3 linked regions of the Drosophila melanogaster genome follow. The protein of the gene in region 2 interacts with the protein of the main gene of each other region in a pairwise test. Each region holds a gene or a part of one and is shown on either strand. Other genes may lie near its edges.

The links. The genes of interacting proteins can lie anywhere in the genome.
Region 1: the proteins of Icmt (region 2) and CG31140 interact in a two-hybrid assay, tested with the Drosophila melanogaster proteins (one large-scale study listed by BioGRID).
Region 3: the proteins of Icmt (region 2) and CG13689 interact in a two-hybrid assay, tested with the Drosophila melanogaster proteins (one large-scale study listed by BioGRID).

The regions. Positions count from the first base shown.
Region 1 is NT_033777.3:23,961,532-23,966,182, forward strand, and holds the start of CG31140 (uncharacterized protein), read left to right. Parts: upstream 1-1,648; 5' UTR 1,649-1,692; exon of another isoform or gene 1,693-1,702; intron 1,703-4,268; exon of another isoform or gene 4,269-4,273; 5' UTR 4,274-4,651.
Region 2 is NT_037436.4:13,016,568-13,020,189, reverse strand, and holds Icmt (isoprenylcysteine carboxyl methyltransferase), read right to left. Parts: upstream 1,925-3,622; 5' UTR 1,810-1,924; coding exon 1,570-1,809; exon of another isoform or gene 1,503-1,569; coding exon 1,131-1,502; exon of another isoform or gene 1,080-1,130; intron 1,003-1,079; coding exon 715-1,002; 3' UTR 503-714; downstream 1-502. Other genes in the region: mRpL20 (mitochondrial ribosomal protein L20), read left to right, coding at 2,428-2,514, 2,578-2,786, 2,841-2,997; CG11267 (uncharacterized protein), read right to left, coding at 3,457-3,603.
Region 3 is NT_033779.5:601,043-604,065, forward strand, and holds CG13689 (uncharacterized protein), read left to right. Parts: upstream 1-1,770; 5' UTR 1,771-1,828; coding exon 1,829-1,964; intron 1,965-2,031; coding exon 2,032-2,297; 3' UTR 2,298-2,520; downstream 2,521-3,023.

The DNA.
Region 1 (4,651 bases), on a different chromosome or scaffold from region 2:
AAGTATATATATATATATATATGTTTATGTATGTGTGTTGTACGTTTTAGCCAAATTTTCTGTGTTTTGTAACTGAGAAAAACAAGTTAAAATAAAAACCAAGTATTTTTGAAAAAAAAATCCTAATTGTACTCGTATGCTATATGAAAATGGTAAGACCTGGTGAACCTCAGTTTTCTTTTTAGTGTCTTTGTTAAACGTTTAGTTTTGATTGTTGTCTTTGCTGTTGTTGTGACTGACCAATTTGACTGCTCTAAACTCTTGACGCCCACATTGTTCCACCTCCACTGATCTGATCTCTGAGCTCCACTCCCTCTAAACTGTCTATCTACCTATATGTCTGGCTTAGCGCACCCGTTTGGTGTCCTTTCGTTTTTAGTTGCTACTATATACCACCCTTTTTCATAGTCTTTTTCATAGTTAGCCCCCAGTATCGATACTTTTATTTGGTTTCCTTTTACCCCAAGCGCTGTAAAGTATAGTAACATGTAACTGAAGCTAAGCATTCTCCCTTTCCAGGATGAGACCCCGCAGAGTTTCTTCGACGATCACGGCCTGGGCTAAGTTGGCTCTATGCAAAAGTAACGCCAGAAAGGCATTATCTATATTGAACCCATTTAAAGTCGCCTTAATTGTATGTGTATTTAACGTAACCCAAAAGTATACCGGTTCTATTGTAATTTAACCACCCTGTGTCAGCATAAAAAACATTGTGTATAGAAGTGCTGTTAAACCTATTCCTAATTTCGCTTGGCAAATGCAATTTGCAATACATTTAATTTCACAAAAAAGCATCAATATCGGTTGCTCACACACGTTCATATTTGTAAAGATTAACTTAATGATAAGCAAAGTAAAGCGATGCGATTAATCGACGGTGTGCTCAACTCTATAGTTGTAAGTTAAAAGCCCTATAAATATATAAAAATTGCTGTATCCAAAGTAACCAATCAAAACTCTGTTTACTTTATGCATTCTTTGCTGCAAATAAAGATGGTATCGAGCGTGAGAGTTTTTATATTTCAGTACTACTCTTTTCTGTTGGGACAATAGTACGTCATGGTTATGACGCGGAATAAGCACAAGAAAGTAGGCAATGGTTTTTGAAAAGTTCGTTTTTATGAGATTTTACTAACTTAAATTATAAAATATAAGAAAATGCATTTTCTTACTGATTTTAATATTGAATGTAAAACTCATTTTTTTCAAAAAACCTACATTTCTAACCTTCAATTAAGCCTTAATTTAAAATAATGGTCGTTCTTTGGGCCAATTTCCTCTCTTAGCTTGGCCACATTTATTTTGGGGCCAAGTTGGCAGCTCGCCGACCAACAAATTGTTGATTTCATTTTTATTTGGGGAGGGGGGGTCGCCAGAGAGCATCCTGACTGCGAACGAGAGAGATAGAGAGCGACCTGGCTCTCTCCCTAACGGGAGCTCCCCAACATTTCCCCCTGTTTGTTGTTGGGCACGCACGCACACAGGAATTCGGCGAACTCAACACACTCAGCGTCGAGCGAGAGGGCGCGATTGGCCCCACGGCGTGTGCGAGCGGGACGCAGCGAGAGCGCCAGGCGGAGCAGCGGCGAAGGCAGCGATAAAGGCGCTGCGCCGCGAGAAAGTTGCAGACCCGTCCGCAGAGCGCACCATCGTCTTCAGCGGAGCACACACAGCAGCTAGGTGTGCTCTTCCGTACGTAACGGTTGCGGATTTTCACTGGATTTCCATTTTCACACAGCCAGCACACAGGAAAATTCTCACACACTCGCAGCGAAAAAGTGCATAAAACGCGTGGAAAACTCGGGGGAAATCGCGATGAAAACTTGCGAAAAACTCGCTTTAACTCGATTGCTGTGCGTGTGAAAATTTTCCATCCGGTGAAGGAAAAAAAATTCGAAAGTGCGGCTAGAAAAGAAAAACGAAGGAAAAAGCAGCAGCGCCAGCAGCAGCAGTAGCAGGCAGCATTAGTGGCAGTGTGAAAATCGAATGTGCAAAATTTTGCAGCTTCAAAAATGTATGGTACATAAAATTTCTCTCTCCAAAATCGCGAGTGTGTGTGTGCGCGTGAAAATTACGTTGTCATATGTGCCAAGTACCAAGAGTTTTCCAGGCCCCACTTTCCCATCCGAAGCCAAAGTTTTAACAAATTAACTCCTTCGTGTGATTAGCAATGAAAATGGAAAAAGACAAGGCCACACGCACTCCGTCCAGATACATATATATTCGCATATATATACCAATCAGACATATATATATATACATACATATAGATGTGGTGGCAAGGAATCAAGCCGCGCCAGCAAAAGAAAGAAAGAAAAAAATTCTCTATCTATTGCGATTTGCTCATGCGGCCCGAAAAGAGCGAAGCGCGCAGCATTGGGTGGGAAAAGTGGGTGGCAAGTCCAGAGGGGGAAAGGGGTGGGGGCGTCAGTGGGCTGGGTGGGCGCCACTACGGGTACGAAGTACGGCTGCTTTGTCTACAGTTGTAGAGTGTGTGTGTATACACAGCCTCTGAAATCTATATATCTCGCTTTTTTGGGCCCCCCATTAGCATCCATAATTTTCCGTTTTTTCTGCTTCTGCGCCTCTCCCAGCCCAAAACAAAACAATAATTTCCCTAAGAAAAGCAAAGCCGCAAAGTTTTCATCACCCAACCCCCAAATTGCCGCCCGTTCAACGCATTTGTTGCAAAAATATTGCTCGTTGTGATTTATCCTTAAACTTGGCCACTTTCTTTGAAACGCTCCGTCGTGGTGGAGTTGAGTTCGCGCGAGCGAGTGTGGTGGGTTCCGGAGTGCGCATGTCGCCAGGACATCGCCTGGTGGCCAGGATATATGGACACGGGAAACGGGTCCTGGACATTCCACGTCGTCAGGCTGGCTCCAAACTCACAGTTGCGGTGCAAATAATAGTACCGTCAAGTCCAAGTTCACAACTCATTTCTCAAGTTCGCAGTACTTCTACTTCAAGGGTTAACAACTTTTTTTTATAGAAAGTAACTGCGTATGTGGATTCCAGTTTTATAGATATTCCTTGATTCCATCTATAATCTGCTTTAAGTCATCATAACTACTATAATTTCGTGTAGGTGCTTTTCTGCGCACACAAACGATGCGTTAATATCAATATTCGATAGGATCGAATATCGAACTAAAATTTGAGGGTTTTAAACAATAGGAAACTCATATCTTGTTGTCACAATAGATAGTTATAGAATTATGAGCTTAGGACATAATTCGATGTAAAATCAATGCTAAAAACATGTCATATACACTAAATAAGGACCAAGATCCTTGTGCTTGAGGGCCATTATGCCGACCTTAACTTTGCGTATACACACAATGCGGATTTGTGCGCCTTCCGTTAGCTATCGTTTATTGTCATCAAGTTGAAAACTTCAAGTGTCGTTACCTTTGTTTCCGTCTATTATTAGGACCTGTATGATATAATATTTGACTGGATTGTCCTTGGCCATACCCGCTGGCGGTGGGCGGCCTTTGGCTGGGAGGGGGTGGTGCTGGGAAAGTGGGTGGCGGTGGTAATTGGTTCGTCGCAGAACATGTTGCATACTTGAGGGCGCCGCAGCTATGGAAATTGATAGAATCGCTTTGGGTGGGAGAAATTGAAGCAATGCAGTTTGCTCTAGCTCCCTCTCTCGCTTTCTGTGCCACTCTCTCTTTCTCCTTTTCCCTATGGTTCCCTTTCTCCTTTTCCCTGCGGTACACGCTGTTGATATCATATTTTTGCCACTTCTATTATTATATTGATGTCTACTACTTTTTTATGATGCTCCAAGAATACTGGGAACTTTTTTACCCAACTCACCACGCATGACGCGTGCCTTCTCTCTCGCGCAGCCCCATTTCTCGCTCTCTTTCTAGCTTTCTCTCTCTCTCTCTCGCATTTCCCTGTGGAAACTCCCGCTCTTGTGGATTTTATTATCGGGAAACGTTTTCCTTTCATTTTTTGGCTCTGCTGTTTTTTTCTTTTGGGGTGTGCGGCGCCCACGTATCAGCGCAGAAAAGCGGAAAGTGGAAAAGCAAAGGAACGAGCGAAGTCGAAGAAAAACATTTTCCGAGCTGCTGCTGCTGCTGCGACTGTTCGTTTTCGGTAGTAGTAAAGTGAAGACCGCCCGCCGAGTGAAGTGTGCCTACGTGTGTGTCCGCGACTGTGTGTGCAGTGCTATATACAAAATTCAATTGGAATTTATTTATTTCAAATGGCACACATAAATTCTAACAAGCAATTATCAAATTTATTTTGTTTAGTGCAGCGCCAGAAATTGTAAATAATTAACAGTTAAAAACTCACCACCAAAAGAAAGTTATAAACGAAAACGCTTAACCAAACCAAAGATGCATGAATATGAATCAAAGCAAATATGATACATAGCCAATATGTATATAGAAACTAGTAAGGATAAATAAAGTTCAAAGCGAGGAAAAACACCGATCCCGACAAGCAAATGTCCGGATAAGGGAGCCGCTACCTGACCAATGGATGAAAATGCAGCCGTCGTCGCCGTCACTTTCGCCGTCGTCACTATCGCATCGCTTTTGTCAGCAGCAACAGGAAAAGTCGGAAAAGCACCAGCAGTACCAGCAGCACCAGGAGCAGCAACAGCAGCAGAAGGAGCAGCAGGATCAGAAGG
Region 2 (3,622 bases):
TGACTAAAAGATTTTGTTAACACTGATAATTGTTTGTACATACATATAACCCACACTCAGACACATACAAAAGCATACACATGTGAAATGACATGAACAAATAGAGAGAGTGAGGCTTGTGTCTTATAGATAGAGCAATATTCGAATTTAAATTGATAATAAAACAAAAGTGACACGCGAGCGAGACACAAAAGTCAACATTTTGTACAACTTGAAATCTTTGTATTGATTTTCAGATAAGAGGTGAAAGGAGGTTTATTTCCTCATCCTTTTATTTATTGGGTTTCTTATCCATTTATGGTATAAGATACCAATCGGGAGAATAATGCATACGACTACAATGTCCAAAGTTACAACGAGGAGTCATCAGCAGATAAGATTATCAACAACGATAGATAGACGAGTTAAACATTAAATAAAACTTGTGAAACACGCAGCTGTTTCATTTGCTTGCTAATGCGGCCCATAAATTCACAATTAACCCAAAAAAGAAGATTAGATTATCAGTTCAGCAACATGCTTTGACTAGTTTATGAATACAAAACAACATGCTAAATATTAGAAAACTTATTTGGAAAAAACAATGTGCTTGTAAATCTTTTTTTTTTGCTATACAAAAGAGAACTGCTGTATACCTTGTATACCTAAACCTAAAATAGAATTTTGTTTTGTTTGCCATGGCGACTTGTGACATTGAACCCCAGATCAGAGGCACTAATCGACCAGATAGCCCCGGATGAAGGGCAGGCCCGTTGGCACCCGCTTTTGATAGCGCACATAGTCCGACTGGAAGAAGTTGAGCAGGGAGTACTCCTCGACGTAGATGCGATCGTGGAAGAACAGCCAGCTGACCAGTGTGTAAATGCATATGCAGATGGGATTCAATAGCACGATCTGGGTTCCGATGGACCACCAGAACCAGCCGACATAAGACGGGTGGCGGCAGTAGGCGTAGATCCCGCTTGTTATTAGCTTGTGTTCCGAGTGTTTCTCATTCTGGACCTGTAGGAATAGATGTGTGATGAGAAGTTTACAAGCTATTTAGTTAGTTTTAATTAATAATAGTGTGATAATTCCTTAAGTGCAATAATATTTATATGTCCATGTATTAACAAATCATCACGACTAACCAAGTGAGTGAAGCTCCGGCCAGCTGTGATGATGGCTGCCTTGCGAACCATCTCGCCCAGCAGGCACAGGACCACGCCCGCCACCCAAATGTATCCGTATCTCTTGAACTGCGGCAGGTAGTACACCTCTAGTGAGAACTCGATCCAACTGGCTGCCGCCGCCAGTCCATAGTGCACAGAGTGGTTCAGCATAAAGGAGTCGAGACTGAGAGTGCGCGGATTGGCAAAGGCGATAACGAGGAACTCCGAGTAGTGGAAAAGGGACATGAAGCATCCGTAGGCGCCAAATTGCTGCCACTCGGTGGGAGCAAAGCAGATGACCAGCACACTCACGGCCATGGCAAAGCCCAGGAAGGATGCCCTAATGGCCACCTGTGGTGCAAGAATAGTTAGCGCCATAGCACTGATAAGGTTTATCGCGTCTCATCGATTGACTCACCTGGTAGTCGTGGTTCCGCAGCACAAACCGTATGATCATGTTAATAAGGGCGTAGTACAAAAATGGACCCCAGAGGACGGCGCCCCACACCTGTGGCACCACTCCATAAAGATTCTGGGGCACCGAGGGAATCAGGACTAGAGCTGCAGTAATCAGAAAGCAATATAAACTGATGCGGCCTTCGGAACACAGGCTGGTGCCACCGGCCCCAGGAGAAGCCACTCGGCTCTTTGCACACATAACTGGGGAATCGGGATTCTTTTTGTGCTGCTGCTGTGCGCAAAAACACGGAAATTGAGGTTTTTTAAAACATTTGCTTGGTTTAATGCGCCAAAATGTAAATAAACCGGCAAAGCTTTCGATAACGATAGGCAGCACAGTGAATAACCGCTAAAGTATAGGCTCGTGATTATCATAGAAATCAGTAATATAATTCTTACAGCTTTTAATAAAATAAATCATAAATCATAAATTAAATTAAATAAATAAATATTTAACACCACGTTTAGCAGAAAATGGTTTTAAAAATAAATTATGCGGGCAATTCTCTTTAGCCTATACCCCCTGTAACAATAAGCGATAGTTATGCACTGTTACATATCGACATATCGAGTTCTGAGGATTTAATTTAATTTTATATAGTCAGAAAAAATTTAATAGTAACTTAAATGAATTACATTTGTAGGTATTCACCTATACCTTTTTAAATAAATTTCTTAACTGCACGCCTTGCATCGATATTTTATCGATAACATGCTCATTTTAGCGCCGTGCAGGTTATGTAAAATAACAAGTAGAGTCGTTGAGATCAATTAAAAATATATAAAAACTCGACCGATATTCTGTTAATATCAAGCCATGGTCTTCCTGAACCTTCCCTTGCTGGTACGGTCCCGTGGTCCGGACGAATTCTGGCGGAAGAGACGCATCTTCAAGCTGGCAGCGGTATGTTTCCGAATATCGTGGCCACAATAAAAATAATGAGCTCTTAGTGCTTAATTTCTGCAGCATTATAGAAGCCGCACTCGCAATGTCTACTCCTTCGCCATCCGGAGTGTCCATAGGGCACTGGCCTATGCCACCAAGGGGCGAAAGCTAAAGAAACTGGACATGGCGCAACTGTGGAGCACACGCGTGGAGGCGGGTTGTCAGCAGTATGGAGTAGGTCTGGAAACCTTCAAAGAGGGCCTCGCGCGCTCCGATATTCTGCTCAACAAGTGGGTACCACCGGAAAATTCCCATATCCTTTAACAACCTATAACATCTTTCAGAAAAGTCCTATCCGACCTCGCCATTTGGGAGCCGCGATCTTTTGAAGCTCTAGTAAAGATCTCTCGAGAGCGGGCAGCTGTGGAGGGAATGCCAGACATCAAACGGAGATCGGCATTTAACCAGGTCTATGGACTGAGCAACCTGAAGTTGGATTAACATAGCCTTAAGTAGGAGTTCAAATATAGATATTTGTATGTTTTAAACGTGTAATCTTTAATTTTCACTTTGAAGGGAGTAAAATCGTTTGGGATTTGTTCTTTAGATTAGTTTTTAACTCCGAATTCGTATTTACATTTAGTTACATAATTCGTAACTTCTGCTTGCTGAATGAAATTTGATACTAAATCATTAATTTATTTACTGCAACTACCTTTTCCGCGAATGAATCCAATATTTTTTCGAGTAAAATGACAAATGTGATTAATGACAAAACACCTGTGCTGCTAGTTTTAACAAGTAACTCGAAATTTATTCAATGACGGTCCATGCGCAATGCAAACAAAAATATTGCATGAGCTTTTATTGTAGTTTTTAGTTTCGGGTTTGTGGGTGTGTTACATACTAATAAAAAGCATAGAATTCATAGAATTGTGAGACAGTGTCCGGAGGCGAGATCTACTCCAATTTGGCCAGGATGTCGGACTCGCGGAAGAGGAACAGCTCCTTCTGGTCACCCTCTAGGTTCACCTTGGTGCCACCGAATTCGGGCAGCAGAACACGATCGCCCTCCTTCACGCCAATGGGAATGTGGTTGCCAGTGGACTGCGGATGAAGTGGGATG
Region 3 (3,023 bases), on a different chromosome or scaffold from region 2:
AACAAAAGTCATGGTACCGTAAAAATTACACCATTCTATAGTTTAGAAGCTTATTTCATTGCTGTTTTCAACTATATATACTATATATTATATTCTATTTGAGCATGATCCGCCATCCTGACCAACGTCGTCTATAAGTTTATGCTCTCCAAATCTGAAATTATTTCAATGTAAATTCGAATTTCCGAACTAGTTTACTGGCACCAGCACACGTAGGAACCACTCGAATTAAAATCTTTTTTTGGCTTCGATGCGCGCAAAAAATATGCAAAATAAATGCGGGCAAAAAATCGCTGGCCAAGTCCATTAAAAGGGAATAAGTGCGTGCAAATCCTGGCCGCAGGATGTTTTTCATATTATCAGAACGCATATTACTTCATCGGAAATGAAGAGCTTTCGTTCCCCCCGCTAGTTGCCAAAGTAAACATGTGTGAATTGCTCGGGAAAAGTGAGGGATGATGGGCGGGATGATGGCCATGATATCCATATCTGTATCCGTATCCATAACCATAACCACGCGCCTTTTTCGCTACACTAAAACCGCAATACAAACACACCCACACCCACTTAAGAGAACGGAAAAAAGAACGAGGGGCACAGGATATGTTGGATGGAATGTACTGTGCACCACATTCAAGTTGATCCCCTTGTAAATCTCTAAATTGTTTTATGAACATATTGGCCGGGAAGGTGTAAACCTAATTTTCCTTTATGAACCGGACGAGGCAGGTAAAGTGGAAGTGCATCCATACCCGGACTTTTTGTTCCGGCTCAGCAGGATGCACTCCATATCAATGTGCTCTTTGTTTGGCCGCCTCATTTAAATCGTACCGCTGGCCAATTTGCATTCGCACTACAGCCAAATTGATCCGCCCTAATCCCAGTTTTAGTTTTGGTTCCCGAACTTCTTCTTCGCTACTTCGAGCGACCGACCGATCGACCGAGATTTATAAGCGCGGGATTTGAATTTGCTAGAAAAACAAAACTCCTCTGCCTTTTCCTCAGGCTTTAGCCTTAGCCCTGGTTTGGCTATGTTTCTGGCTGGGATTGGCTTGGATCTGGATTTCGGTCCGATCCGGCTTGGCTTCTGCTCTGGCTTTAACTTTGCGCTTGCCCTTTGCCGGGAAGGTCTGAACCAGAGTTTTGAAGTCAGTCGGTTGACCGGAAAAGGCCTTCAAGGGGTTGGCCGCGAGGGCAGGGAAATATAAGGGTTTTATCATTTAAGAAATGAAGAGATTTTGTTGGAATAAGTAATTCTTCAAAAATGAATAAAATTTCATTTCATTAATTTGCGGCATAATTTCATAATTATTAATTATATAAATTTTGTAATATATTGTATTGATTTTTAAGACAATTTTTTTTAATATGTATCTATGAGATTCTAAGTTAGAAACAATAATTATTATATCTAAAAGTAACATGGTGGCGCCATCTGTTGTTCCCTGAAAGCCCCTGTACTTAATTTCCGGTAACAGTAATAAGACGCCATCTGGAGTTCGCGTTGTTTACAATCTGTACACACACTGGAATTAACAGCTGTTACAGTCCGATAGACGATTATTCACATCACAATCTTAAACTGCTTTTAAAAAGATATTATTTAAAATTATTTACAAAGAAAACAACCAATTGCCAAATCAAAATTATAATGAATCATTATTAAAGCGCTTCATATGAACCAAAATATATAATTCTGTGAAGCGGTCGCTAGATTTCAGTTTCTGGCCACATTTTGGATAATTTGGCAACACTGCAATCTTGTTATTGCTTATGCTGAGAAGTAAACAAAAGGCGACGAATGTTTGTATTTTCCTAATAAAAGCCAATGGAGGATTGGAAATCGGAGGAAATGGCAAGGAAAAGAAACAGGAATAGGAGCAAGCAGCGCAGACGAAGGCAGAAAAGTGAGGGAAAGCCGAAGCCACATACATCTCGAGATCAGTGGAGCAATGTGGCTCAAAGTAACAATAATAGTCATTAATAAGTTTTTTAATAGTGTTAACCATTTAAAATTCCCTGTTATTGTAGTATACCAAAGCCTTTTTGAATGGCACCACAATCATGTTATGAGTCTCTGCCCTGAGGTTAATCCGAATCTGGATCAGGACCTTGAGGATATTCCCAAGGAAACAGGAACGTTTCACTGCCTGGACTACGTGTACGAGAGTTCTTCCGAGGATGAGGAGATCGAACCCATTGACGAGGGCTATCTGAAGTTCCTCGAGGTGACCATTAAGCATCAGCAGGAACTCAGGGATCGAAGAACTGCCCAAACCACCGACTCTTTAGATTAGAATTTTGGTAAAATAGGTTTTTACGCAGATGAAAACTTACAGTTCATTTTTATCTGGTAATGACTTAAAAATGTATCTTACGTAAAATGTTATAATTTAAGCTCAAGTTTATAGGTTTGGTATTTAGTTTTGGTAAGCAGAAAATGTACCTTTTATAGGGGATATTTTTATATGTAGCACTTTGTCTTGAACGTATTAAGTATATAAGATGTTTTGATAACTTAATGTTCATACTTAGCCATTCTAACTGAATGCCTCAAAGGGCTAGAATCAAGACCTGCGTAGGACGAAAAAGCAACTGTACTTTAATTCCCGGAACTCTTCAAGCGGGAGACAAGTGTCTGATATTCTGCTTTTCTCACATGGTTCTCCACTAATGAAGTTGTGCGAAGTTGGCAGTTTTTTGGCCAAAGGAAACGCACATTAACCCGACCAAGACTAATGCGATGTCATTTATAATCGCGCTGGGAGAACCAGAAGAAAGCTTCAAATTGGGGCATGACTAAAAAGGGAGAGGGGCTTTTGGTAGGATGGAGGACCATTTGTGGGTCAGAGACAATGTCTGCTGCTCGTGTGGGCGTGGCAAGTTGGGCATTAGCCAACATTTTTCGGCACTTTTCAGCAGAAAACCTAATTAAGACGTCCGACTCTGAGTGGCAATGGATTTTCTTGGCTTACTTATATCCCCCATCCTCTCTCTCCTGACCAAGCTCCTCCGCCCCACGG